3 linked regions of the Alligator mississippiensis genome follow. The protein of the gene in region 2 purifies or fractionates together with the protein of the main gene of each other region. This does not show direct contact. Links are inferred from orthologs where the notes say so. Each region holds a gene or a part of one and is shown on either strand. Other genes may lie near its edges.

Region 1 (9,623 bases), on a different chromosome or scaffold from region 2:
GTGGCGAGTGACAGAGAGCAGGCCCGCTGCGGACCGCGTGGCCGGGGCAAAGCAGAGAGTGCGGAGCCTCTGCTGTAAAGGCCGATTCCACCAACTTGGGCAACTCCACCCGTGGTGGGATTCACCTGAAGTCCTCAGGGCTGGGAATGCAGTCTGCACCATCGGCCCTCAACTTGGACTCGGGTCCGCGGTTTGGGCTGAGCCGAGAGGTCTGAACTGCGGTCCCCACCACGCTACATGGGTGTTTCAGGTGAACATGCTGCAAACCCACCGCCGAGAGGAGCGTGCTTCCAGGCATCCGGGGTTGCACGGCGAAGGGGGCACCACCGCTGCATTCAGAGGTGGCTCCTTCTCTTCCTCTCTCCCTTTGCCATTAGACAGATCCCTGGCAGAGACGAGGCATTTTGCACATCCTTCCATGGGACAAGATCTGAACGCTTCGTAGACACTGACCCATGGCCTTGACAGGCTGGCACATCCATCCTGCAGGAACATGGCGCTTCGGTGACTTGCCCGACAACATCCGACGAGTCGGTGCCAGCCTGGGACACAGAATCCCATGTTCCAGCCCTGTACATCCTGCAGCTTGCAAGGACACAGGAACGCGCTGCCAACTTCCACTTTTTAGGGGTGTTAAAAGAACTTAACGATATGCAAGAAGTGAACAAGAAGAACAGCAGAAACGGAGGCAGCCTGGAGACCCCGGGGCCCCTCGTGGCACATCTGCCGGCCACATCTGCTCAGAAATAAAGAACATGCATAGCGCAACTAACCTCCCAACGCGCCCTGCGCCTCCACGCGTTAGATACAGACAACGAAGCACAGCGTGTTTGGAAAGACTGGGTGCTAGTTAATGCGACTAGACTCCAGAACCAGGACGGTGCCAGACGTCCCGAAATCAGGCACGAGCTGTCCCCCCGTTTTGTCCCAGTTCCATTTCCTCTCCTGGTGCCAGTCCTTGCCTGGGTTATGATCCCACCGGGCAGTTTTCTGAAGAGGACCAGAGGCTCCCTTATCTTGCACCTCTGAAATCAATGGGAATTTCCCCACTGGCTTCAGCAGAGACAGATGACGACCAGCAGTGTTGGGCTCTGACGCGCGGGTGGGATAAGGGCAGCGGGCAGAGCCTGACCTGGCTGGCTCTACAGCCAACCACATCTTGCAGCGTGGCTTGGAGGCCGTTTATAGCCCCTGAGCCTGCCTAGCCACATCCTTGCTTGTCGCCGAGCCCTGATGCACGGAGCCACTTCCTCGGAGCTGAAGCAGGGGCAGGGTGTTGTTGTTCATCCCCTCTCCGACAGCAACCGTCTCCTTCTAGCAGAGGTGTTGCAATTCCCACCCTCCGCAGACCCTCCCCACTCCTCAGCCCCCGTGGCTTTATCGGTACCCAGCCACTTCCTCTCTCAGCCCCCGGCAGCAACCTGCACGGACGGGGCAGGCTCTAGCCGGGGGGCACACGACTGCAACGATTCCTTCTGGCCTGAAGGTCTACAGCTTCCTGCTAGCTCACGTGCAACTTGGTAAGTGCACCCTTTTGCTCAAGCAGTGTGTTGAGGCCTGGCGAGATCACTGCCATTCTGCTCTTTGCCAAACCACTTCACCCTCAAAGCCACGGATTAGACTCAACACCCAAACCTCCAACAACGTTGCTGCTTCTGCTTCCATCTGCCCGAAACCCAGTCAAAAAGAACCAGAAAAAGCCCATCCCTGCTCATTCAGCAAGCCCCCTGCGGGTCAGCAAGCCCCTCTCTGGAGGGTGGGCTGTTGGACAAGCTGCAAAGCACTTAAGAGCCTGGATATCTGATCCTACAAGGTGTGCAGGCATCAACTCACGCATGCTTTTGATGTCCAGGGCATCGCTCCTCACACGGGGACACATGGAATTGGAAGAAGCCGAGAGTCCTTAATGGGACTCTCTATGTGGCCAAGGACAGTGCATTGGGCTTGAAAGCCAGCCACGTTGGGGACACCGGGTAATGCTCCGAGACTCTCCCGCTTGCAATTTTGGTACTGAAAGATTAGTCATCTTCCCAGACACCAGGGTTAGTCATCCTCCGATCGAGTGAGACATCCCAGTCTCGTCTCCACCTTCTCGGGTGCCTGGAGCTCAGCAGAGGCACCGTGACTTCCACCAGCTGAGCTTCTTGGTGTGCTTCTTTGAGCTTTATCTACGATTTGATCCCAGCAGCAGGTGGAGGCAGCCCTGGTGTGCAAGGCACTGCACAAATATATAGCATCCGACAGTCCTCACCCCACTAACTTAGATCTTCCAGGCTAGGAGACAAGAAGGAGAAAGGGCAGGGCATGATTGTGTACAAGCAACACACGAGTCTCCCATCGAACAATTATTTATCGAGTTATCCCTATCAGAGACTCATGGACAATGAGGGTGGGAAGGGACCTCAGGGGGTCACATCTAGTCCAACCCCCTGCTCCAAACAGGACCAGCCCCAGCTGCATCGTCCCAGCCCCTGAATGGGCTTGGATCCACAGACGGTGCCCAGACACCCTGCGTGGGATCTGTTTGGCCTGCTCACTTGGAGCAGTGTCGAGTCCCTTTGTCTGTGCACCCAGCTCCCCCGGCGTCACACCTGGTCCCTCGCTGAGCAAGCACAAGCCCGAGAGCCCCAACCTAGAGCCAACGCTATCAATAAACTCCCTTTCCTCCAATGTTTCTTACTGTGTGCTGCACCCCTTTGGGGCCGGCCGAGATGACCTCACGAGGTCCCTTGCAGCCCTACTTTCCTATATCCCTTGAACACACCTCGCAGTGCAGTCATCCTTAGAAAGCAAATGCAAAGGAGGGGGTAAACCAAGATGAGGAAGAAAATCAGGGTTGGGTTTTTTGTGTTGATGTGACAGAATACCGAAGGAAACCACTGAGGTATGTGCTCACTGCAACTTCATCCCCAACCTGGGATATTGCTTACATAGATCTGCTTTGGAATTTAATTTCCTTGGCTACATACACACAGGCAGACGGGGAGACAGACAGAACAGCACGGCACCGAAATAAAGACTTAACGCAAGAAAACCTGACATGGCTGGTCTCAGCCGTGAACACAAGACGGTGTAACAATTCAAAGCACTTCCCAGAGCAGTACAGTTCAGGTGTGTTACTGAATACTGATGCCATGTTTTAATTAGACATGTACTACACCAGTGGATCTCAACCTATAGTCCTCAGACCCCTGCGGGGGGTCTGCAGGCTATGTCTAAGGGGTCTGGAAAAGGTGACTACGATGAAGCAAAAGTAGGTGAATATGCACGCTGACAACTCAAAGGGGTCTGGCACCTCTATTAGAAATTTTTTAGGAGCCCACACATGAAAAAAGGTAGAAAAAACCACAGTGCTAGACCATAAAACCTCGGTGTTGATGGCAGAAATGTGCATGCTTTGATCATTTAGAATTAAGAGCTTATTATTTACTTGACAGACTGCAACGTTTCCCTTGCAACTGGTGCACGGGGGCCAGCGTGGTCCAGTGCTTAGAACAGGGGCCTGGGAGTCGGGGCTTCCCCGGCTGTCACAGACGCTCTGCGTGAACACGGCTCGCTGTGCGACACGCTGGGGAAGCTTCATGTGACGGGGGCTAAGCAAGGCTCAGGAAGGAGGAGGAGAGAGGAGCTGGGCTGAGCACAGAAGCAGGACGAACCCCCACTCTTACTCTATACCTGTTTCAGGATCGTGACCCCACCTGGCAAAAATCCCAGGAAGGACTCTCCATATATTAGCTCCAGCCGGGCTAAAGCTGCAATGAAATGGCCTGACCCCAGGCTGAGGATGCATGTCCCAGGCCCTGGAAGAAGCAGGTCACTCCAAACACATGAAGCAGCCTACAAAACTCCTGACACACGACCAAATCCCACAGTAAAACCAGGCCTAAGACACTGCCATGCTTAACTGAACTCCTAATTAGATGACAAATTACAGCAGAGGAGCTTTGGGCCAGGAGATATGCTGGCACCTGGAAAAACTTCGCATCCAAAAGCTACGCTGCGTGTCTTCAATGAAAAACGACCCTGAACACCGAACAATCGCGGCTCCTTCCATTCAACGCACCCCTCGCAGCCAACCCTGCCCTGCAGCTCTGTAACTCTCGCAGATTTTATTTCCTCCCCAGCTGCTTCTTTAAAAGCTTTGCCCTTCTCTTTAATTTAGCTTAAAATCCCAGCTAATATACCGTTTATGCAGGGCAAAAAATCTGCTCCCAACCCCACCGTGGCTTTTAGTGTGCTCACCCCAGAGCAACAGAGCAGAAACCAGCCCGGCATATCCAAACGTCTCCCTTTTATTTCCCCGCGCACACTAGATCAAGACGATTGATGACTTCCAACCTCTCTCCTCTGCTTCCTTAAGGGTGGGTTGAAAGCCAGTTTCAATTTACAATAGCAAAACAAAAATCCCCCCTGCCCAGCAGCCCCTAAATACAGTCGTGCTGGGACGTGGCATGTTAATGACATCTGAGATCGATTCAGGTGTTCCCACAAGGCGCAGAAAAGCGGGTCAGGCCTGTGATTAAGTGACACCTCACCGGTCTGCTACAGGGAAGCCCGAATTCAAGCATCTGGTCCTAGCCTGCCAGAAGCAACAGGCAGAACCAGCGCATTTTAACCGATTAATCCTTGAACTCGCCCCCCTCCGCCCTTTGGCCAACACGAGGACCAGGCGCGTCGATACGAGGTAAGCCCCCAAATGCAGAGTCCAATGAGAAGTTATTACAACGCAGAAGCCAAACGTGGGAGCAAGGAGGGAGACACGTGAGACAACACAACCTACATACACACTTCAAATTTGTTCTCATGGAAAAACGCCTGGCCTCGATGCTCTCGCTCGACAGCACGAAGCGGGATACGGAGAACAGGCCGCACTGTCATGCAGTCCCTTTGGGGTCAAGTTCATCTTGGGATAAGCTGGCATGAGTCCCATCGATGTGCAATGTATTCTACAGAGGCAAAGCTCATATCGCAGTTACTTAATTGTTCTGGGCAATGTCTCCCCTGCATCGTAAGCAGACCTACCACTGGAAGTTGCAAGGCTTCTTGGCCAGCTTCCTGGGTCCTGGTGGCCAAGACCCAGAGATTGGTATTCCAAGGAAGCCGTCGGGAAGCCTTAAAAATCTCCATCGGACAAGACGCATCAGAGGGAAAATTGTGCAGAAAAGCCTCTGCTCACCGCTAAATGCCTCCGGTCAAATGAATGAAGTTGCAGCCATTTATACCTGAGTTTGGTCCCTTCAATCTCGGCCCGTGGTTATCTGCGTGGATGCCATCAGCCACTAACTGCTGGGATCTAAGAGTCCCCAGTACATCTGTAGGACTGGAAAGAGGGGGAAAAAAGAGGCCTGCAGGTCCTTAATACGGTCCACTCCCCCTGCCCTTCCCGGGTGAAGTGCCAACCACATCGTTAAGAACATGCCTAATGTAGAACAGGCTGAGACCTCGGCAATTTCCTTCACTTAGGATGAATAATTTATGAGCTGCTGCAAATGTTCCCCGTGTTGCTCCGTGCCAAAAAGAGCCCCGAGCTGCAGAACTTGCGAGCCGACAGCAGGAGGGCGCAGGCCGGGCGCACGTGGACAGAGGGACGCAGCTGAGAGCAGCCGCGGGAGCCTCTGGATTTACCTGGCTCTCGTTAGCGCCAGAGGCCTGACGTTCACTCCGGAGCACAGCCTTTCTTCTGGCCCAGGGCAAGGCTCACGGGCCTGGACCTGCGTCGTTCCTGTTTCGCAGTCCTTTCCGCCCATCTCCCCCAAATCATGCGCCGATCTGCCGTTCGGTAACTTTCTTAGAGCCTCCCCTCTCTCTGCGAGCTGCGCGCCCCTCCGTTTTCCGCAAAACACCGCGCTTGAGGGACTCATTTCCTTCCTTCTTCAGCAGCACCGTTGCAAACGCACCCACCAAAAAGCCCCGTTGGCTTAGGAAGGGCTGGAAGTTTCTCCATGTCTCCTCGTGAGCTGTCCGAGCAGGGACCGAATGTGTCCTCGAGCGGGCGGGAAATCTGCCCAAGTTCCTTCGCAGAGGACATCTCTGGGTGCGTGGGAAGCCCAGGGTGCTTTACAGTTTCTGCTCTAGCAACTCTTGCCGCCCCCCTGCAGCCACGAAGCAGTGGCAGAGAGAGCATGTAGGCACCCAGAGGTGACGAGCGGCGATAACCCCAGGGCATGCACAGCCCTGGCCGGCGCACAGTGAACGGGTCTCGCAGAGACGCCCCTTCCCTGGCCTGGAGGGTACACGCCGCCCCGACCCCCAGGGACAGCCTGGGTCTAGTGACGGTGGAGCTGCCACGGCCTGACGCTGCCTCCAGCTGGCGGCCCGGTCTCGCCTGCCCCGCCCCGGGCTGGAATCACACGGGAGCTCCCAACTGAATGCGCCCCACCTGCGTGTCCCCACCGCGCAGCCCCACTTGGAGGTCACCTACCCGCCCTGACCCTACCTGGACATCCCTCCTGCATGTCCCCCCACCCACCTGGGTGCATCCCGCCCACCTGCACGTCCCCCACCCACCTGGGTGTGTCCATCCTGTACATCCCCTACTCACCCACCCCACCTGGGTGTATCCATCCTGTACATCCCCTACTCACCCACCCCACCTGGGTGTATCCATCCTGTACATCCCCTACTCACCCACCCCACCTGGGTGTATCCATCCTGTACATCCCCTACTCACCCACCCCACCTGGGTGTATCCATCCTGTACATCCCCTACTCACCCACCCCACCTGGGCGCATCCGTCCTGTATGTCCCCTACTCACCCACCCCACCTGGGTGCATCCGTCCTGTACATCCCCTACTCACCCACCCCACCTGGGTGCATCCCACCCACCTGCACGTCCCCCATACACCTGGGTGTATCCATCCTGCATGTCCCCTACTCACCCACCCCACCTGGGCGCATCCCGCCCACCTGCACGTCCCCCATACACCTGGGCGCATCCGACCTGCACGTCCCCTATTTACCCGCCCCACCTGGGCGCATCCCACCCACCTGCACGTCCCCCATACACCTGGGCGCATCCGACCTGCACGTCCCCTATTTACCCGCCCCACCTGGGCGCATCCCGCCCACCTGCACGTCCCCCATACACCTGGGCGCATCCGACCTGCACGTCCCCTACTCACCCGCCCACCTGGGCGCATCCCGCCCACCTGCACGTCCCCCATACACCTGGGCGCATCCGACCTGCACGTCCCCTACTCACCCGCCCACCTGGGCGCATCCCACGCAGCCCGCCCCACCTGCCCCGGCCCCACCTGCGCGTGCTCCCGCGCCCGGCCGCGTCCCGGCCCCACCGCCGGCCGGCCCTGGCGCTCCGTGCGGCCGTGCCGTGCTCGCCGCCCCGTCCGTGCCGGGCCGTGCCGTGCCGGGCCGTGCCGTGGGGCCGCGGGGCCGGGAGGGGAAAAGCAGTGAAGCAAAATGGCGACTTTTCGATGCAGCGGCAGGAGAGGCAGCGGCAGCGGCAGCGGGAGCGGGAGGGAGGGAGGGAGGGAGCGGCGGCGGGGGAGGCCGGGCGGCGGCCGGTGCTTACCTCGGTGCTGGGCGGACGGGCACGCGCCGCCCCGCGCCGCCCCGCACCCGCACCCGCACCGCACACACGCAGCGCCTCCCCCCCGGCTCCGCCGCCTCTGCCAGTTTTGCAGCCGGGAAAGAAGAGGTTGGAAAAAGCAACTTGCAACTCTCGCGTTATTCCTTCCCCGCCGGCCCGTGCCCGCGCCCGCACCCCGATAACCCCCTCCCCGCAGCGCCCGGCAGCGTGTCCCGCTCCGCCTTCCCCAGCTCCCCCGCGCCCGGGACAGCGGGCACGCGAGCGTCCAGCCGCCCCGCGGTGGCCCTCGCCCGGCTCTGGACGGGCAGGGCCCCGAAGGCAGCGTGCCTCGGTTTCCCCGTGTGCATCCCACGGGCTAGTGCAAAGCGGAGCCGGGTGTGACTGCCCGTGGCTAGAAACGGCGGCAGGTTTGATCCAGGCGTGCCAAGAGCGCCCTTGCGAGGGTGGCACAGCGTCCCACTCGCGCCACCCATGCAGTGCCTTTATTACCGCCACCCACGCACGGGTTGCACTCCCCTCTCCGGGACGTGGCAATGCCTCCCCGTTCGAGGGCACTGTGCACTAGCGTCGGCTTGGCCCAGGTAAAGGACCCGAGGCCCAGAGAAGCACGGCCACTACACGGGTAAAACCAGGCCTGGGCTTTCCCCAACCCAAGGTGAGGTAGAAGGATTTGGGAGCCCCCATTCTGCATTCAAGTCATTCCCCGTTCTTCCCATCGCGTCGTGCAAGCAGGACCCGAACGTAGCCCGCTGTGCTGCAAAAAGCCTTGGAAATAATAATAATTAAAAAACTCTGAAGAGTTTCTTGCATGGTTCATGGGCCTGACAGGGCTGTTTGGGATCAGCGGGGCACAGATTAGTACGTCTTCTCTGCGCTGGAGGCCGGCACCCTGGGGCACGCGGAGGAGACGCTTGCTCTTATTCCTGCTCGAACGGCAATGTGGGGAATCACTCGCGGCAGCCGGAAGATGCGCCTGGTACCCCATAGGGAACGTGCAGCCACGTGCCAGAACTCCGCGCCCCCAAAATCATCTTTGGCTTCAAGTCCAAGGGAGATGGATCTAGCCCGTGGCCTGGAAGAGCAGGCGTCTGCCGGCAAGCTAAGCCGAGAGCAGCGTTGCTAACTTAGTGAGGTAGGAGCGAGGCCTTGTGAACAAGGTAATAAAGCAGGAGCTCTCGTAAACCTGGCCCACGCACAACGAGAAGCGGCAGGTGCGTCTTGCGCCGCATGAATAGGAGCCAGGTTGCCAGCAGGTGATAGCGTCCCTGGGCACGTAACGGCATCTGCTTGGCTGGAGCTAGCAGAGACCCTGGGAAGGCCCAAGCCGACGTGCCAGCTGGCTTCGTGGGCTAGTAGAAATGCATCTAATGTTGTCTGTCCAGGGTGAGGCTTTCACCCCTTGATGCATACCAGGGTATCCCAGCCATTGAGGTCCTGCCATGCCACGAGGATGCTCTAAGGCATGCCTGGACCCAGCCAACATCTCTGGATCCAGCAAAATCCAGCTGCTTTCTTCCTCCCCACAGAGGCTCCCACGTTTTTCAATGAAATGGGTCATGAAGTTGCTTCAGACACTCCTTTCCCTGCTCCAGCCTCTGAAATGGCACAACCAGTGCTTCCCCTTCAGAGATTTTCCCTTTCCAAAAGCAACCGTGGAGCAGCGTCCCGTTTTACAGATGGGGAAACCAAGGCAGGGAGCAGCGAGTAACATGCCCAAGGTCACTCAATGGAGCGGTGGCAGAGGCGAGCTGGCAAGCCAGGCTCCCAACAGTTGTTTAATCACAAGCCCCTACACTCAAGGGATGAGGAAGTTGCATTATCTAAGCCAAAAAAAAAAAGACAACTGGGGAGTTTCCCAGTGGTTTCCCTCATTGTCTCCATCCTCTGGAAAGCGCTTAATTAATGTCTGCGCTGAGCATGTAAAGCAGCATATAATTGCTAGGTATTGTTATAACTGGAGCAGAGGGTGCTCAGCGGGGTGGCTGAGAAAGGCACGGCCCACCTTCTCTGTATCAGCTGAGGCACGTGGGAGGGAGATGCCTTCCCCGGTGGGGAGCTGGATACATGGTGAGGCT
Region 2 (9,455 bases):
TCCAGGACTGAGCCACAACAGGAACCCTAGCACAGCCTGGTCACTGTCCCTAGCCTGGCTACAGCTGCACCCAGCACCACAAAAGAAGGGGAGAAACCCCTGACTTCTGTACCAACAGAGCGGGGAAAAATTCCCTCCCAGCCCTGTGCAGCAATAGCAGCAAAGGCCCAAGGCCTGGGAGAGCCCCCAGGGGGAGCAAGGGCAGTCGCACTGAGCTCAGCCCCCAGTGTCTGGCCAGCCTCCTCCAGACCCCATCAGGCATCTTCGCCCACTGCTCCCCGTGCTGCCAGGGCAGGTGTTTGGCTCGAGGTCCCAGTACTATGCTCTCGCGTGTGGCTGGGAGCAGAAGAGCTGTCCCTGCTCTTTCTGGCAGTGCTCAGGGCTCCTCTTACCCACCAGTTGAACAGCCTGGCCCTAGCACCCTACCCTGTGGCTCTGGGCCTCTAGACCCCCCGACTTCTCCAAGGCTGTTTAAAGCCCGTCCCTTCCCCCCTGCTCCCCCCCATCCCACACTCCCCTCACCGGGCCACCACGAGGAACTGGTCTATCTGCCGGTCCGTTAGGGGGTTGTCGGGATCCCAGACCTTCATCTCCATTTTCTGCTGGTTGCGGTTGTCAGACTCACCTGCGGGAAGCAGCTGGGTCAGGGGAGGCCCCACACACATGACTGCCTGCCTAGTCTCTTGGGAGACAGTCCTGATCCCCTTCTCCAGCCAAGGGGGATGGACGCGGTCCCCTTCCCTCCCCTCCCCATACCTTCAGCCAGCCGGTCGGGGATCTCAGCCTGGTACTTGCAGCCGACACGAATCTCGCCCTGGTCGGCCAAGAGGGTCTTCTGCACAGGGTCGAACACCAGCGAGTAGAAGAAACAGTCCTGGAACCGGGGGAGAGGAAATGAACCTTGGGCTGGGAACACCCCAGAGCCCCCAGCCCTCCAGACCCATGCCCAGGGAACTGCCCTCCCCCTAGCTGCCAGCCCAAAAGAGACTAGCTCCCCCACCTCCAGGGAGATGCACCCCCAACCCCAGCCCAAAACAGTTCTTCCCCCCCCCAAGCTCTACAGAGACCAGGACCTTGCCCCCAGAGAGCTACGACCCCCCCTCACCTCCTTCTCCAGGTACTGGCCCAGGATGTCAGTCTCGTTGAGCAGTGTCACGCTGCACTTCCCCCTGTGGGCAACCAGCAAGATCACGTGTCACATGCTGGAGTTCCCTCCCTGCCCAGGCCAGCTCAAGGAATCCCCCCCCCCCTCACCTGCCACCCCCCCACCTGCCACATGCAAAGCTTCCTCCCTGGTAGCTGCTGAGGTGCCCTCCAACACACCTTATGTGAGTGGCCGGCAGCGACTCGAACTGGCGGGACAGGAAGAGCTCGCGATGCTTCAGCTGGTGCCGCTGCTGCTCTGTCATTGTTGGTTGCTTTGACTCCTCCTCAAACTCCCCTGGGGGAACATGCCAAGCAGGGGGAGCAGGGGAAGGGGGGGTGTCAGGTAGCTCCACACAGCTCCCTCTTCATGCCAAGGAGATGGGCTCAGACCCCTGCCCACACTTCCAGGCCCCCCTCCCCGCCCCCAGCAAGAGCCGCTCCCCCCAGCCCCCATGGCAGGAAGCGGCTCCGTGGAGGCAGCTGCGGTCCAGCCCCGCCTGTCTCCAGCTCCTGGCAGCTGCCCAAGGGCTTGGGGGTGGAAAATCTACCCCTGCTCCTGCGCCCAGGAAACCCCAGGCAGAGCCCTCGCCCCCCCAATGCCATTAAGCCCACGTGGTCTGCAGCCTCCAGGCTGCACCGGGTCACGGGCCAGGGCAGCCCTGCATGGTACAGTGGGAGGAAACCCGCCACCCCTCAGCCCAGCTCTGTCAGTGCCTCCCATTCCTGACCTGCAGCCCCTCTCAGCCCCGCCGGTCCCTCACTCCTAACCCCACAGTCCCTTTCAACCCCTATCCCTGCCAGTGCCCCTCACATCCCAACTCGCAGCTCTCTGCCAGTGCCCTTCACCCCCAACCTGCAGCCCCCGCTAGCCCTGCCAACGCCCCTCACTCTTGACCCCCAAATTCTGCCAGCGCTCCCTCACCCCGGGCCCTCAGCCCCTGCGCCCCACTCCCAGGCCCCTGCTACACGGGCAGTGCTGGGAGAAACAAAACCAGCCCCCAATTTGCTCAGAGACAAGTCAGGGCAGCTCAGTCCCTGGGGTTGGACCTGGGCTGCTCTGTACCCCGTCACCCTCAGCCCAGGCCCAGGATAGACCCCCCTCCCTCCACAGTGGGAGGGGTCACAGCTCCCCCCTGGTGCCCCACTCACGGGCATTGCTGTCGGCCAGGCTGTTGAGGCTGCTGGAGATGTCACGGCGCCGGAAGAGGCAGACGACCTTGGCCTCCACATTGCCGTTGGCTGTCTGGGGGCAAGAGTGAAAGGCTGCCACAGCGCCCTGGGCACAGTTGCCCCCTGCATGTCTCCCCAGCCCCCCCAGCCTTGGTCTGCAACCCCCCACATCCCCTCAGTCAAGCCCTCCTCTGCCCCCCCAGACCTGCCCCACAACCCCCTCATCTCCCAAGGCAGGCCAGGCCCACCCCAGCCCAAACAAGACTCCCCCCGTGCAACCCCCAGACAAGCCGAGCCCCCTCAACCCTCTGCAGAACTGCCCCAGAGCAGGGCCTCAAAGGGGGGGAAGGGGCCTGGACGCCAGCCCCTGGGGCATGGGAGGGGGCGCGACTCCATCCTGCCGGGGTCCGTCCCCAGGGCGGCACCGGGGCCTCTCACCTTGTTGAGCTCCTCGATGCGCCGGACGAGATAGGGGTTGCTAGAGGAGTTTTCGAAGTAGACGTAGTCTGGGGGCGGGGAGGGAAGGGGGGGCTGTCAGGGGGGGCAAAAGCGGCGGGACCCCCAACCCAGCCCCAGCACCGACCCCTGCAATCAGCCCCCCTGAGGCCTAGTGCCCCCGACTGCGGCCCCCGGGGCGATCCCCACCCCCGCGCCCAGGGGCTGAATCTCTCTTGCTGCCCTCCCCCGCCCTGACCTGCCCCCCAGCCCCCATCTAGATACACCCCCCCGGGATCCCCAAACTCCCCGTGGGGCCGCCTGCCCCCCACTCCCCCACACGGCTCCCCACCCCCTGGGATGACCTGTCCCAGCCCCCCCAAACTGCCCCCTCAGAGCTCATCGACCCCCTCCAATACCCCTCGGGGGCCGAGCTACCCCAGGGACCCCCAAATCACCCCTCGGGGGCAGAGCTGCACCCCCACCCCCCTCCAAATACCCTGGGGGGGGCCGCTACCCCCCCCCCAGCAACACCCCAGGGCTCTGAAAAGTTACCCCCCAGGCCCTCAAACTGCCCCCACTCCCTCCAAATACCCCAGTGGGGGGTTACATAACCCAGCCCCTCCACTTGCCCCCAAGCTACCCCCGAGATGACCTGCCCCCCTCACCCCCCCGAATGCCCCACGGGGGATATCTACCCCAGCCCCCACGGGCTCAACTCCCCCCACCCCCTCCAAATACCCAGGGGGGGCACTTGCCCCTCCCCCCCAGGGGACGGGGGTCGGTTCCGGTTCCGGTTCGGTGCCGGGCCCCACGCGCGCACTCACCGCCCACCCGGTACATGTTGGCCGCCATGGCCCCGGGCCTGGCCCGGCTCGGCTCGGCGGAGCTCGCTACCGGCAGCCCCGGCCGCTCTTCATCGCCTCCCGCCGCCGCCTCCTCCTCCTCACGCAGCGCCACTCGGGTGTTTCCGCCTCCGCTTCGGACGTTTCCGGTGCCGCTCGGGTGTTTCCGCCGCCAGCTCGGGCACTTCCGGCATCACTCGGGCGTTTCCGTCACCGCCCTGCCGCTTCCGCCACCACCTCGGGCATTCCCGCCAGCACTTCGAGTATTTACGGCGGCGCTCGAGTATTTCCGCCCCTAACTCCACTCTCGGCCACTTCCGCTGCTAGCTTCGGGCCCCCCCCCGGAAGAGCCTTGGCTCGGTTTCGGCTCTTTCCGGCAGCACTCGAGTCTTTCCGCCCGCCGCCGCTTTCGGCTCCTTCCGGAAAGGGGGGGTACTTCGGGTCTTTCCGGCTCCCCATTAACCTTTTCCTCGCCGTGTCGCACCATTTCTTCCCTTTTACTCCCTCGCCCTCTTTAGCATATATGAGCATAGATCTGGCTTCTATTTGCATATATTAGCATAGAACCAAAAAAAATAGACATGCACCCTCCATACCCCCAGTTAGTGACTCTTTAGCCCCAACCCCAAGGCGCTGATGAGATGCAGCCAGTGCTGAGGTGGAACATGGGGATGCTGGTGCAAACATGCAGCCACCTCTAGGGTGGGGCACAGCTCCCCTGCATCCAGGGATACCTCTGAGCCCAACGCAAAGATGCAGCCACCTCTGCGGTGGGGCAGACCCCCCCACTGCCCCAGCCGAGCCTCCCCGCCCCACCAGGAAGGAGACGGGAGCCCGGCCCCTGATGCCAAGGCTTTATTTGGGCCTGTCACAGTGTCGAGAGCGGCTTGGAGCAGCCGGGAATGTAAACGAAGGTGGGGGGGCTGCATCCTGCCCCCCCCAGACTTGGTCCCGTGGAGGAGGGAGGGGGTGCTTGGCCCCTCCCTGCTTTGGCACTGCCTGCCTCCCCCTCCTGCTCTGCCCTGGGGGAGTTATGGTTAATGAAGCAGGTCACATCGTTAGCGTGAGTTAGTGCCGCGGCTGGCTGGGGGTGGGGGGGGCACTCAGGGCCCCCCCCCAGCCTCCTGGAAGGAGAGGGAGGTGGAGGAGAAGGAGCGGCTGCGGGGGGGCACGGCGCCCCCCCCGCTCAGCACCCGCCACTGGAAGATGCTGGTGTCCTTGCCCCCCAGCGAGACCAGGTGCCCGTCGTCGTGGGTGAAGCGCACGTTGGTCACGTGGCTGCCGTGGCCACCATACATGTGGCTGGGGGCCTGTGGGAGGGAGGAGTTGTGGGGTGCAGGAGTTGGGGGGCTGAGACCCCCCCATAGAACCCCAGTGCCCCCCTAAGGTCCCAGAGCCTCCTCCAGGCCCTGCTGAGCCACCCACCCCATATGAGACCTCCTAGAGCTCCCCAGCTGCACTGAAACCCCCCACCCCAATAAGAGACCCCTCCAAAACCTCAGGACCCCCACACTCTCTGCAGCAACCCCAGCTCTGAATATAAGACCCCCCCCTAAAACCTCAGGAAACCCCTCGAGTTCGGCCAGCCATATTGTGGAACCCCCCCCGGTCCCCCCACCCCCAGCAGAGACCCCCCTCAAGACACACTACCCACTACCTGGCCTACAAGGCGGAGTGTGCCCCCCACCCTGATACCTGCCCCCTCTCCAGGCAAGATGCCCTGGGCAGAGACACGCCAAGACAGCCAGGGCCCTCTGCCCCAGAAATTCTCCGATCCAGAATTGCCTCAGGTCCAGGGCAGAAGGGCCTGGCACCCCCACCCCAACCCCCAGGGAGGGGGCGGGGGGGGCATCTGACCTTGGCACGGGAGCAGGGGTACTGGAAGAGATGCACCTTGCAGAAGTCATCGGCCACGGCCACCACGCGCTCGCTGTGCGACCGGCACAGGGAGTTGATGTCTGTGCCGTCCGAGCCATCCGGCCACACGCCTGCACACACATGAGCACGTGTGGGCATTCCTCTGTGCCCCCTGCCCCCCCTGGTTCTCCCCGGCACCCCCAGGGGACACCCCCAGGGTCCCCCTCCCCATGTCCCCAGCTCACCGAAGACGTGGAATCCGAGCACGCAGGTGTACGTTGCCCACTCCCGGTCCCGGCTCTCGAACCGGTTACGCAGCAGCTTGCAGCTCCCAGCCACGTCCCCTGGGGGGGCATGGAAGGGGTGTGGGGGGGATGCACAGCCTGACTCCCTCCAGCCCCAGCCCCCTTGGAAGCTCCTCAGCCCCATGCAACCCACTTCCAGCCCCCTCACCCCATGGGGACCCCAGACCCATGCAACCCACCCTGCAGCTACCCCATCCTCCAGGCCGCATGGAGACCCCTCCAACCCGCCCTCACACCATGCAACCCCGCTCTACCTCATGCAACCCCACCCACAGCCTCCATCCCATGGAGAGCCCCCCACCCTGCAGCTACCCACCCTCCCAGCCCCCATGGAGACCTCCCTGAACCCCCCCCCAGCCAACCTGGAAACCCCCAGAGACACCCAACCCCATGCAACCCCCTTCCCTCCAATCCTGCCACACCCAGTTGAGCCCCCCAGCGCAGCCCATTGGAGCCCCCCGCAGCTCACAGTAGAGGATCTCATAGTCGCCTGAGTTGGACATGATGAACTTCCCGTCCTTGGACCAGTCCAGGTGGGTGATAAAGCTTGAGTGACCCTGGCAGGGGGGGAGGGGGGTATAGCAGGGGCATGAGACAGACAGACCCCGCCATTATGCCAGAGGCCTATAGCCCCATCCCAGGACCCCGTCCCAGGGCCAAATGCTGACAGTCTGACCAATGGCTGGACCCGTACCCTAGCCAGTACCCCTCCCCAGCCCCCCCAACACTCTAGACCCCCCCACAAACCCAGAACCCCCCACCCTGCTCCTGTACCCAGCACCCCAAGACTCCCACACCCAGCCAAAGCCCACCCCAGTCCCCAGCCCCATTTTGAGATCCCCCTACCTGCCCCTGCCCCTCCGAGCACCAAGACCCGCCTCCCAGACCCCAATACCCAGAGACCGCCCCCCAGCACCGACAGACCCTCTCACCTTGATTCTGCCCCACCTAGCATCCAGAGATCTCCCCCCCTTCTTTGCCCCTGCCCCCTTGCCCACCGGCCCTCAGGGCTCACCGTGCAGCGGCCAAGGCGGCTGTACTTGCGAGCACCGTCACCCACGCTATAGATGTAGATGAAGTTGTCGTGGGACCCGATGGCCAGGAACTCCCCGTCTGCAAGGGGGGGGCAGTGAGCCCATGGGGGGGGCTAGGACCCTGGGGGTGCAGAAAGGGGGGTTGGGGCTTTGGAGGGGAGGAGGGGGCCCACGGGGGCAGGTGTGACCCTATGGAGGAGCTGTGACCCTATAAATCCCTGTAGGGGAGATAGGAGGAACCATGGAGAGGGTGGGGGGTGACTCCGTGGGGGGGGGGGGGGTGCGACCTGGTGAGTAGCGCATGACCGAGAGCTGCTCGTTGCCGTCCGAGCCGCTGGCTACAACCTGCTGCGTCTCCGTGTCCAGCACCAGCCACCTGTAGGGGATGGGGGGTCAGGGCCCCTGGGAAAAAAAGGGCCTGAGGGAGGGGGGGCACCAGCTGCCCCCCCACCCCCCGCCCCAGGGGGGGCAGTTACCGTCCAGTGTTGAGTCCCACGGCCGCCACCTGCCCGCTGGGGTGGAAGTCAGCGCACAGCCCTGTGTCCTGGGGGATGGGAAGCGTCAGCCGGGCCCAGCAGCCCCCCAGGCTGCAGGTCCAGCACCCCCAAGTGCCCTCCCAAATGTCCCCCCTGAGGCCACAGACCACCCCCCAAACACCCCCACAGGGCTGCAGAGTCCCCCAAGACTCTCCTTGACGCCACAGCCCCCAAAGGCCCCCCCCCCCACCTCGAGGAGCAGGCTCCAGGCCAGGCTGTGGGCAGCGCCGTCCCATAGGCAGAGCTGTCGGTCGTGGCCGCAGGTGAGGAAGACGCAGAGCCGCGGGTGTGTGGCCAGGCCCCACAGTTCATCTGTGTGCCCCTGGGGGAGCAGAGCAGGCTGTGACCCCTCCCCCCCCCCAGCTCATCCGTGTGCCCCTGGGGAGGGGAGCAGCTGTGACCCCCCAACCCCCCTGCAGCTCGTCCGAGCACCCTGAGGCAGCAAGGTGGGCTCGGACCCCCAGCCTCTGCCAGCTCTAACCCCCCCCCCCCAGGACTCCCACAGCTCCCTTCTGGCCCCATAGCCCCCACACAGCCCACTCAGCCTCCCTACAGCACATCCAGATGCTGCTGGGCACATGAACGGGGCAGGCTGGGAACCTCCAGCCCCCCAAGGCCCCCCCCAGTGTAGCTATACCCCCCATTACCTGGACAATGGGGACGAAGCCCTGGGCCAGCCCCCCCCGCAGCACTGCGTTGCGTGTCGTCCCCACCAGCAGCTCCCCCCCGGCACCTTCTGCGATGGTGCGCACGGCCCCAAACCGCTCAGACAGCTGGGGGAGTGGGAGGGGGGTGTCAGGGGGCAGCTGGAACCACCCTGCCCAGCCCCCAGAGCTGGGGAGAGCCCAGCATCTGGGCTCCCAGCCCCCGCTGCTCTCATCCCCCACTGCCCCCGAGGACCCCGGCATCCGGGCTCCCTGCTCTCAACCCGCACTCCTACTCCCTTCCCCAGGCTGGAGACAACTCAGGCACCCAGTCCTACCAGCTCTCACCCCCCAGTCTCACCACCCAGAGAACCCAGGTGTCCGGCCTCCCAGGCCCCCCAGCTCTCACCCCCAACACCACCCCCGAGAGAAACCAGGTGTCCAGCCCATCACCTCGGCCTCCTGCAGCAGGCTGAGCTCGGGGCTCCAGTGCACGAGGCGCCGGTCCTTGCCCCCCCCGCTCAGCACAGAGCCGTCACGGCGCAGACACAGTGCGAAGACGCTGCCCTCGTGTGCGTGGGTCTGCCGACCGATTTGATACGTCTCTGCAAGGGGATGGGGAGGTCAATGCAGGACCCAGATGTCCGGGCCCCCAGCCCCCTACTCTCCCCCCCAGTCCCTCCTCCCCCTCCCAGAGCTAGAGAAAACCCAGCCCCCTGTGCTCTCACCCACTCCCCTCTGAGAGCTGGAAAGAGCCCAGGCATCCAGGCCCCTCTGCAGAGGGAACCCAGGCATCCAGTGGTCCATACCTTTGGCGCCCCGGCCCAGCGTGCGCACATCAGCAGCTGCCCGGGTCCAGGTGAGGATGTTCCCCTCCGAATCACCTGTGAGGACGTCGCCACCAGCATCGAACACGAAGCATTGGATGAACTTGGGCTTTTTGTACTTCTGGGGGAGGAACGGGGGTGGGGGGGTGAGCAGGAACCCAGACCCCCTGCTCCAAGCCCCTGGGCCTGAGAGAACCCAGGTGTTGGGGGATGAGAACAGGGGAGCTGGGAGCCTGGACACCTGGGATCTCTCGAGCCTGGGGAAGGGAGCACGACTGGGTGTGGAGAGCAGGGAGCCCGGACACCTGGGTTCAATTCAGCTCTGGGAGGGGAGTGGGGTCTGGGTGACAGAGCGGGGAGACTGGGGGCCTGGACGCCTGCGTTCTCTCCAGCTCTGCGACAGGGTGGGGTGAGAGCAGGGGGGTCTGGGAGCCTGGACACCCGGGTTCCCCCCCCACTCGGGGAGGGCAGGGGGTGAGGCCTGGGTCCCGCTGTCCCACCCCCAGGCCACATACCCCAAAGATGCCCTGCTTCTTGCTGAGGCTGGCTCCGCTCCAGGTCCAGAAGTAGACGTGGGATTTGCCCCCGGTGATGATGCGGCTGCTGTCTCGCGGGTCGAACTCCACTGTCAGAACCGACTCATTTGTGCTCTGGGG
Region 3 (9,651 bases), about 22 Mb from region 2:
CTCCCGCCCCGCGCCAGGGAGCCGCTATATCGTCACCCAGAACAAAGGCCACGGAAGCAATTGTGGTTTCCAATTTTGAGGGGGGAGAGGAAAATTCAAGGGGAAGCAGTTTCCAGCTAGGCCCACGGGGGCGTAGCAGGAATCTGGCACCAGCGAAGGGAAAACTGGCAAAGCTGGGGCGGGCTCAGATCCGTCGTATGGCTCTGGCCCTGTGAACTCCTCGCTCATTAAGATGGGCAGGTTGCGAATCTGCCCAATGGGGACTCCACGTGCAATACCAGGAGACCTCCGCCAGCTGGCAGGGAGGGCGTCCCAGCACGTCCAGCTCCAGGCGGAAGAAGCAGCCAAAAAAGACAGAGAAGTCCAGCTCAAGCTCCACGCCCACCTGCTTCGGGGACTCAGAGCCTGGCACAGGTGGCAGGACCGCAGCCTGCCCCGACATGAATGCCCTGGCCTCCAAAGCTGAGCCAGGCCGGCGCAGGTTCCGCTCGGATAAGATAACGTCCTGAGGTCCCTTCCAACCCCAATTTTTCCACAATACACGTTCACTCACTTGGGTCTGACCTGAGGGGCAGGAAAGCCAAGGGCTCCCCAGGGGGGAAGGAACTTGAGGCCTCAAGGCGGGTTTGAGGTTTGAGACCGCGTGCATCCAGCCCATCGGAACAGAAAACGGCTCCTCTTAAAACACAGGATTTAAATGAAACAACCCCATTTGGGGACCAGAATGAGGGTATCCAATCCAATTTCCCCATCCCCCTCCCGCTTTTTAAAGAAGAAATATCCTTTGCCCTTCATTCTGTCACTGATTCAAAGCACCAGCCCTGAGAGACATCTCTAATAGGTGAGGCAGGGTTTGCTCACTGGCACCGAGGGGCCTAAAGCCTCTAGGTTTCTGGAGCCGGCTCATCAAGCAACCCATGGGTCTGGAAGTGCTGCAGGGATGGGAGCACTTATTGCTGCCGTAATTAATGTTTGTCACCGCTCCCCCACGCCCAAATATCTGGACCTGGATTCAACAACAACGCGCCAGATGTGGCCGCACTCCAGATGGGGTGGGTGTCACTGCCCTAGGTCCGGTCTCCCCTTGGGAGACAAAGCCCAAGAGAGTTAGGTTCCCGAGGGTCTCTAGGGACGTTTGATCCTACGCCACTCTTGCCTGAGCCAGCCTGCTGCGGCCCAGTAATTAAACTGAGGCTTGTTCTCGAATCAAGAACAGAGTAACTTTGGAATCTTCAATGTAATGCTTCATGGCGGGAGATTATAAAGGCACCAAGAGCTGGGGCTGATGCTAAAACCCACCGTGTTTAACCATGAATGAAACAGCGAGCGAGCGAGAAGTCGAGGACCCCGTGGGCAATCCTGTGATGGAAGACAGTGGGTGCGAGGCGGGGGGGGATGAGCGTGCACAGCTCCAAGCAATGGGGCTTGATCCAGAAGGGAAAATGGCGGCATTTGATACACACACGCCTCCACCGCCCCCCCTTCCCAACACTTCACATCTTCCCCCAGGCTCCGTGATTTGCAGAGAGCAAATCAAAGCCAGCTCCGCTGGGGGAAGCTGCGCGTTCAAAACCAACAACAAAGGCTCCCGGCTATATCGGTCTGGGGTTTCAAGCACCCCAGGGCTCAGAGGCCGAGGCAACATGTCCCAGGCAACTGGTGTGCGGGTTCGCCTGTCCCGCCACCTGAAGCTTTTTCCCATAAGGCACCGGCTTCCCCGCCTTTGCTCTGATCACGGCTGACAAGGCCTGTCCCTAGAGACAAGCTCGGCAGCTGATGTGGCCCTGACCCCGGGCTGCCCGATTCCCCCTGTCCTCAAGTCACCCTTCCCGCCCACCAGGCCTGACCCCGGCTGCTCCCGGTGGGCAGATCTGCCAGGGCACCTTTTGCTGATGGAGCTTCAGCCCTGCAGGGGACCCCCGTATCCCGCCAGCCCCATCGAGCTGGGTGCTGAGAGATCCCTGTGCCCACAAAAATCATGAGGGCGAGGGCTGATCCCCAGGCGGAGAACCAGATGCCACCTGTGCGGCGCCCTCCGTTTGGCCAAGGCCCAGCAGCCACTGAGCATGGTGACCCCGAGTGATCTCAGCCCTGTCCAACCTGGCAGACACCCTCCCGGCCTCGGGCTCCCCACAGGGCCCCAACCTGCCTGCCAAGAGCCCGGCCTGCTGCCAAGTACCCACGGGCCGCATCCAGTCGCACATCCTCCCGCCCACCCGGCCTGCACCATCGCCAGCACCATCCTGCTTAAACGCACAGGCCTGTTTGGCACAACGGGCACCCTCTACTCCTGCCAACCCACCCCCTGTGGGGCCAGAGGGTGTCAAGTGCCCCCCACTGCTGCCAACTGACTGCATCCTGACCCCAGGCCCCACTCCGCAGACCACCAAGCACACTAAGGATGGCTCCCCCCATCAAAGTGACCCTCCTCCTGAAGTGACCAGACCCCCCCCCCCATCTTTGAGGCAGGGGAAGAAGAGGGGGCATGCAAACAGAGGGGCACTCAGCACTTCAGCAGTGTGGGGCCTACCGTGTGGGGGGAGGGGGCACCTGGCTAAAGTGATGGGGGGGAAAGGGGGATGGGGGTCTGCCCCCCACTGCTGCTGCCTAAGGAGACAATTCCCTGGGGGGGGCTTGTTTACCAACCCCTAGGGTGGAGACACAAGGGGGATCCCCCTCCACAATCTCCTGGGGGGAGCTAGACACTCTCAGGCCCCAACCCAGGGTGGAGAAGGAACCGAGGGTGAGGAACCCCCCCCCATGAAACCCTCAAGGGGGGGCTAGAAACTCTCCTAAGCCCCACCCCTCCCCCACCCACAACAGTCCAATATGGGGGGGTAGAAACTCCTTCCACCTTCAATGACCCAATGGGGGGGGCTAGAGATTCCCCCCACCCTCAAGGGCCCAATATGAGAAGGGTGCTAGAAACTCCCACCACCCAACATAGAGGAGGGGGGGCTAGAAACTCCAGCCACCTTCAATGGCCCTATATGGCGGCGGAGGCAGAAACTCCCACCACCCAATATAAAGGGGGGTTAGAAACTCCAGCCCCTCTCAATGGCCCAATATAGAGGGGGGAGCAGAACCTTGCATCACTGTCAATGTCCCAATATGGGGGGAGGGGGGCTAGAAACTCCCACCACCCAATACAGAGGGGGGCTTGGAAACTCTTGTCACCTTCAACTGCCCAATATGGGGGGGGGTGTTAAAACTCCCATCACCCATTATACAGGGGGGTTCAGAAATTCCTGCCACCCTCAACGGCCCAATATGCGGGGGGGGGGCTAAAAACTCCCAGCACCCAATATAGACCGGGGGGGGGGGGGCTACGAACTCCCACTACTCTCAACAGCCCAATATGAGGGGGGGCTAAAAACTCCCACCACCCACTATGGGGGGGTGTTTACAAACTCCCGCCACCTTCAACGGCCCAACTGGGGGGGGGGCAGAAACTCCCCGGCCGCGGACGCTGCTGGGGGGAGGGGCGGCCGGGCCGGGCCCCTCGCGGTGGCGGAGCCGTTGGGGCGGGGGGGGGGGGGCGCGTGGAACCCTCGGGCCGCCACGTTCCAAAGCCGTTGGTTGTTTACAAACAGGGGCCGGGGGGGCGCCCCGCTCGGGGGGGAGGCGGGGGGCTGTTTACCTGCGGGCGCCTCAGTGGCCGCGGCGGCGGGCGGAGTGGATGCTGCTGGGGCTGGCGCCAGGGGCATGGGCCCCGCCTGGGCGGCGGGCAGGAATATGTCGCCGGGGCTGTTGTCCCCTGCTCCTTCTTCCTCCTCCTCTTCCTCCTCTTCGTCTTCATCCCCCTCCGCCTCAGACACCACCATCTCCTCCTCCTCTTCCTCGTCCTCCCTCAGAGGGGAAGCCATGGTGGTGCGGGGGGGGGCGGGGAGGGGGAGAGGGAAGGGGGAGCCCCCCCTCACCACGCACGAACCCTCTCCCCCCTCACAACACCGAAAACACAGCACGGGGGAAAAGTCCCATGAAGAAAAGGGTTAAAAAAAGGGGGGGGCGAGGAGAGGAAAAAAAAAAGGAGAAAAAAACTCCACTCAACTCCCCCCCCCCCCCCCCCCGTGGAAAAAAAATAAATAAGGGGGTGGGGGTAAAAATATATATATATATATCTCTATCAAAGCTGAGGGGGCCGCTCAGAATAATATTTTCCACAAGAGCAAGGAGCAAAAATGGCCGCCCTTCAATTATTTTTAAAACAGGCCCCCCCAGGAGGTAAAAAAGGAAAAAAAAAATCCCCCCCCCTTTCCACCCCTTTTCTTTATTTTTTTTTTTAAAGAAAACAAGATGGCTGGCTTCTTTAAAAAAAAAAAAGTTCCCCCCCCCTCCCGACACACACACCTCTTCCTTGAGGTTAAAAAAACAAAAAACAAAAAAAAAAACCCAAGAAAGATTTTTAAAAAGAGTAGGAAAAAAAAGCCTCAACAAAAAAAATCAGGCACCAATAACCACCCCCCCCAAAAAAAATCTGCGCTCCCCCCCTTTTTCCCCCTTCCCTCTCAATATATATATAAATATAGATAGCTCTTTCTTTCTTTCTCTCTCTCTGTTTTGTTTTGGTTTCTTTTAATCTCTCGCAAAGATCTCAGATCATTGCATAGATGAACAATATTTGTATATTCCTGGCACTGGGGGAACTGAAAGAGAAAGATTTCTGCATAAAACAAAGATGGCTGCTCTAAATTATTTCTTTTTTTTTCTTATACTCCCCCCCCCCAACCTCCCTCAATAAAAATATTTTTTACCCGGGTGGGGGGGAGAGAAAAGGCTGGATTAATCAGTACTCATGCTCAGTATGACATCAGCATAAATTGTTAAAGGTTAACTAGTTCCATACTAGTAACACCATGATTTTTTTTTTTTTTTTTTTGCTTCCTCTTTACTAGTCTACGCGAGAGTGGGGGGAAAGGGGCTTTTTTTCCCCCTTCCCTTTCTTACTTCTAAATACTTCAGAAGGGAGTGGCTTTTTCTTTCTTTCTTTAGCCTGTCTGGCAATGAAAAAAACCCCAAAAAACAACCTTGCAATTCATTTAAGTGTAGGGTCCAAATTCGTTTAAGGGCATTGTTAGGAAGTATTTAACTGTTTTCCTTGATGTTATTTTTTTTTGGTGGGGGGAGGGGGGGAGCTCATGTCAGGTATTTTTATTTTCCAGCACTTTTATTTTCCTTCTGCTAAAAAAAAGCACCATCCTTTCTGTTTCTTTCTAAATACCTTCCCCATCTTACCTCCCCCCCCCGCCCAGCTACACACGCGCGCACACTAAAAATTGGGGACTACAAATATTTCAGTGTCTTCCTTATTTTATTTTTCTCTTGAACTATTTTACTGAAGTGTTTCACTGGTATCAAGTGCTGCAAAGTGCTTTTTGCATCCCCCCTCCCCAAGAAAACAAATAGAAAGTGGGGTGCATCCAAAAAACAAACAAACCAGGACACGATATTCTGGAGGGCTCTGATCCTGTGACGGCCTCTGGACAGTTGTGAGGACCTGCTGACCTTGCTAGACCAAGCAAGCAAAAGGCATGTCAAAAACCACAAGCAGGTCCCTAGGGCCTGATCCACTGGGTCTGCTCACATGAGCAAGGGGACACATGCACGTGTTAAATAAGGAGTCTGGGCGAGGGGAACTGCCAGTAGATTGGGGGAATTCCAGACTTCTACGTTTTCGGCATGGTTGGGCTTCCGCTGCATACCAAATCCTCGCCCTCCCTAGGTAAGCACGTGAAGAACGCCATCCCCCGTAGCTGTTACTTTCCAACCTCCCTCCTCCAGGCCTCCAACACGAGAGCAGCCAGGACCCCCTTCCTTAAAGAAATGAAGGACACCATCTCTCATTTTAATCTCTTGTTCTTTTTGGTAGCTGTATCCTGCTTTGCAGGACGAGCCTCCAGAATGTCATCCACCGCCCACCACTTCCGTGTGAGCAGACTCGACAGCAAGGTCAGGGCCTGAGTGAGGATTCCTACCAGTTGCTTAATGGGTTTTGTTTAGGCACAGTCTTTCCAGGCCCCTGGATTGAGAGATGGTAGTTTTATCGTTTCTAGAACTGGCGGGTCGGTGGGTGAAAAAGTGCAGATCAGGGTATGCAACTGTGCCTGCTTGACTAGTGGTCCATCCCCGGATGGTGTGAAGCATGCAGGAGATGTGATGTCCCTCGAACCTTCCATTGTGCAAATCCGCCGCTCCCCCAACATGTCAGTGGTGATCTGTGGTCCCAAATTTCTCCCCTTTCTGTTTCCCCAGATCAGCTGGGATGATTATTAGCTTTGTGCCCCTGCCCCATTAACATTTCTGTGTGTGGCCTGCTGGTCTGAGATACAAAAATCCTTTGCTGTTGAAGGCCAGGAAGGATGGATCGAGTCTTTTGCTGCCTGCGGAAATGCATCAAATCTTTTCCGGATACCAGGCTTTCAATTTCCAGACCTGTAAGACAGCCCCAGCACGTTCCACAAAGAGAAAAGAGGGCCATGGACTATCTTTCCCGCTAAACAAATTGTGGGAACCCCTAACCAGGTCCAAACCCAGGTCATCTTGCAAAGAGAGAACATCCAACCTTTTGGAGAAGCCTCACTGGAACCAACAGACTTTTGCCTCACCTTACAGCTGGAGCCATCATTAACAGGAAGGATTTAGCAAAGAGTGGTGTGTTTATATGTTTAATTATGGCATTAAATCTCATGGGGCTGAGATTTTCTGTGGGAGCACCTGGACTCTTCCCCCTCACATGCCTCTGATCTGCACACACATCCCTGGAAACGCGGCGTCTGCTGCTTCCTTCTCGGCAATCTTCCCCCTGTAGGATAGTCATAAATACCCGCGTAGGATATGCCCATCGCCTGCAGGGACTCGCAGCTTGCCAACCAAATGGTTCCCTCTGTGCCTTTTATATTTAATTCAACACCCCTCCGGCCCCCCAGGAGCCTGGGCGTCGAGCCTATTCATTCATGTCAAAACAGTTCCCCGGTGCTGCTGGAAGCCAACAATTGGGGAGGAATTTGGAGGCCAGAGGGAACCTGAGTTGGTTTTCATTTTTCTCTCCTTCTTTCAAAGGCAATTTCCAAGGTTTTTTTGGAGTTTTTTTTCTTCCCTCTCTCTGTGGCTGCTTGGATCTTCAGCTGGTTTTGTCATCTGCTGAGCTGCCTGGGGGGGGAACAGGGAGATCCAACAGGACAAAGCGCTAACCTGCCTCTTCAGCTGCTCATTGAGTTGCGGTCGGGGGGGAGCAGGTCATGCCATTGCACATGATAGGCCCCGATACATGTTGAGAGCAAGGCGCGCATTTCCTGCCAACAAGTGAGACTCAGCTTAAACTTGACCCTGGCTGTTTGTGGCTTGGTCTAGATCCCTCAGGGAGCAGCAAGGGTTTTTCTTCTCTCTTCCTTTTTTCCTCAATCTGTCTCTCACTGTCTTTGATGCTTCTTTGTAGCTCATCAAGTGTCAGGGATTGCACTGCAGACCCATACAGAATGACACTAATAGGGGAGCTGTCGTGTTTATCTGAAGGGCTTCACCCACCGCCGTTCGGCTGACAAGAGGGTCAAAGATTGGCTCCGAGTGCCGCCTGCCCTCCCCCCACCAGGGGAACTGCCTGTTTGCTTCCAAGGCAATTGCTGGCAGTTCTTCCCTGCTGATTTCCTACTGCACGCCTTACTCTCCTCTCTAATAAGGGAAGGCTGCGTGGCAGCTTTCAGGAACAGGGCAGGCATGCCAAGGCCAAGGCTTCCAGGACCTTGGAAGCAAACAGGAGTTCCAGCATCAACTTCCCCCAGGCCAGGATATCACCCTGCTTAATCTTGCCTATAGCTGTGCGGCTGAGGCGCTGGGTGGAGTCCCAGAAACAGCCTCTGATACAGATTCCCTCTCAGTCTTGCCACTCAATCTCTCCGCGGGGTGCTAACATCCTTGCTTGGGTCTCCCCTTCCAGTTTAAATCTAAAATCTCTTCTGGGCAGGAACTGACGCTTCTCTACATGCAGCCAAACAGGGCAAAGATTTCTGACAGGGCCAAGGCACACCCTTTTTTTTTTTAGCAGCTGGGGTCCCATCGAAGTGTTTCTGATATAGCATGGTATTGCCTGGGCTGCACAAATACAGCTCCTTTTGGGCTTGGAGCTGGGCCAGCTGGTTACACGGCCCATGAACTGGACCCGTATATTTCAGAGGGTTTTTATAAGGCCAACAAAAATAGCACGTTCCCCTCTTCCACCGATTCAAGCTCCACTCTGACTGGGATTTCCCAGCCTGGGGCTGAGACATGCGGTTGCCATACATTTCATCCGCATCCCGCTTCTCCTGCTAACAGCTTACCAGTTGGCATCCTCCAAGAATGCTCCTTGCTGTAACGAGTTGACCTGGGTGAAGCTGTATCGATTTGCGGCCACTGAAGATTGAACCTGAGAGCTGTTGGAGGCACAGAAAGGATGATTAACTGGTTTCCCCACCGGCTAGCCCAGAGCGGTTCCCTCTGGGAATGCATAGAATGAGCCTTGCATTGAAAACAAAAATGCATAAATTACCAAAATATGATCAAAATGTAACAGTGCATGTGCTTCAGGATACTGTGAACAGCAAGAGTTCTGGAGTCCAAGAAGTGGACGGGGCAGATAATTAGCTGCTAGCTACAGAGTTCAGAGTCTGCCTCTAGGATATTCTTTCTGATGCGGCCCTGGGTTGTCCGGCAAAAGTGCTAATTTGTGCTTGGCAACTGTTTGTCATCACCTGCATCCTGGTGGGCAGGGACTGAAGCTGCCAGAGGTGCAAAAACTCTGTGTGCCCTGATAAAACAACACACAACTACAAGAACAGCAGTCCAGCCGCCTTGCTACCTGAACGGGGTTAAATCTGGGCTGGTGGACTCTTCCTTGACACATTTCTACAGTGCTTAGCAGCAGGTCTCCCCTTCTGGCCTGGGGCTGCTCTTGGAAATCAGACCAGGGTGAACAGATCATTCAGAAATTGGCCATCAGGTCCAGAAAAAGCCCCATTCCCTCTATCTTGCAACCTCACTAAATTTTATGGTGAAATCTATTTCACTCTGGGTCAAACTAAGGGCTTAGTTCAGGGGTGTCATGTGTGTTGGGTCCCATGGGGACTCCTCACGGGCTGGATCCACCCCCTGCTGCCAACCTTTAATGTCACGGGCAGCTAAAACCCCCAGTTTTGGCAGTAGGCAAGGGAAGTGAGCAGCATTAACCCCTCGAGATTTGGAACCACTCCAAAACAGCTGTGCTGAAAGCACTCCGGCAGTGAGCCCTGTGGGGAAGCAGGTGGCCTAGTCTGTGAGAAACCCCGCAGGACTATCCAACCCACAGGTCACAACTCTGAGACCTCCAGTTGTGCTCGACACACACCAAAACACTTCCAGCTGATTTGGAGCACTTTATGCTGATGATTATTGAAATTTCAAACCAGAGGAGTGCTCAGAGGAACACATCCAACATCTCCCAGTGATTTTGCCACCAAAGCACTGGACAGTGGCCAGCTGCTGCTTCCCACTTGTGAACCCTCCTGGGGCTGCCGAACCTGCACTTTTGTTTCACCCAGACAAGGCGCTGGCTGGAAACTGCTGTTCCCTGGCCCCAATCACGCTGTGCCCAGCCGAGCATACCCAGCTGAGCTGGCTGGCTTCATGGCACTGGCTCTC

The links.
Region 1: the proteins of MTA2 (region 2) and ZNF512B purify together in Homo sapiens (affinity purification with mass spectrometry; 3 studies listed by BioGRID and IntAct, with this or other methods). This does not show direct contact. The link is inferred for Alligator mississippiensis from reciprocal best matches to the Homo sapiens genes MTA2 and ZNF512B.
Region 3: the proteins of MTA2 (region 2) and CHD3 purify together in Homo sapiens (affinity purification with mass spectrometry; 8 studies listed by BioGRID and IntAct, with this or other methods). This does not show direct contact. The link is inferred for Alligator mississippiensis from reciprocal best matches to the Homo sapiens genes MTA2 and CHD3.

Annotation. Positions count from the first base shown.
Region 1 is NC_081832.1:2,816,824-2,826,446, forward strand, and holds the start of ZNF512B (zinc finger protein 512B), read right to left. Parts: upstream 3,457-9,623; 5' UTR 1,880-3,456; coding exon 1,834-1,879; exon of another isoform or gene 1-1,833. UniProt on the Homo sapiens protein: Involved in transcriptional regulation by repressing gene expression. Associates with the nucleosome remodeling and histone deacetylase (NuRD) complex, which promotes transcriptional repression by histone deacetylation and nucleosome remodeling.
Region 2 is NC_081838.1:3,230,486-3,239,940, reverse strand, and holds the start of MTA2 (metastasis-associated protein MTA2), read right to left. Parts: upstream 3,725-9,455; 5' UTR 3,607-3,724; coding exon 3,579-3,606; intron 2,823-3,578; coding exon 2,755-2,822; intron 2,390-2,754; coding exon 2,296-2,389; intron 1,442-2,295; coding exon 1,324-1,441; intron 1,170-1,323; coding exon 1,106-1,169; intron 875-1,105; coding exon 757-874; intron 626-756; coding exon 523-625; intron 1-522. Other genes in the region: EML3 (echinoderm microtubule-associated protein-like 3), read right to left, coding at 4,700-4,906, 5,454-5,584, 5,699-5,797, 6,228-6,315, 6,774-6,871, 7,080-7,168, 7,269-7,336, 7,519-7,650 and 4 more. UniProt on the Homo sapiens protein: May function as a transcriptional coregulator. Acts as a component of the histone deacetylase NuRD complex which participates in the remodeling of chromatin.
Region 3 is NC_081838.1:24,913,049-24,922,699, reverse strand, and holds the start of CHD3 (chromodomain-helicase-DNA-binding protein 3), read right to left. Parts: upstream 4,193-9,651; 5' UTR 3,867-4,192; coding exon 3,641-3,866; intron 1-3,640.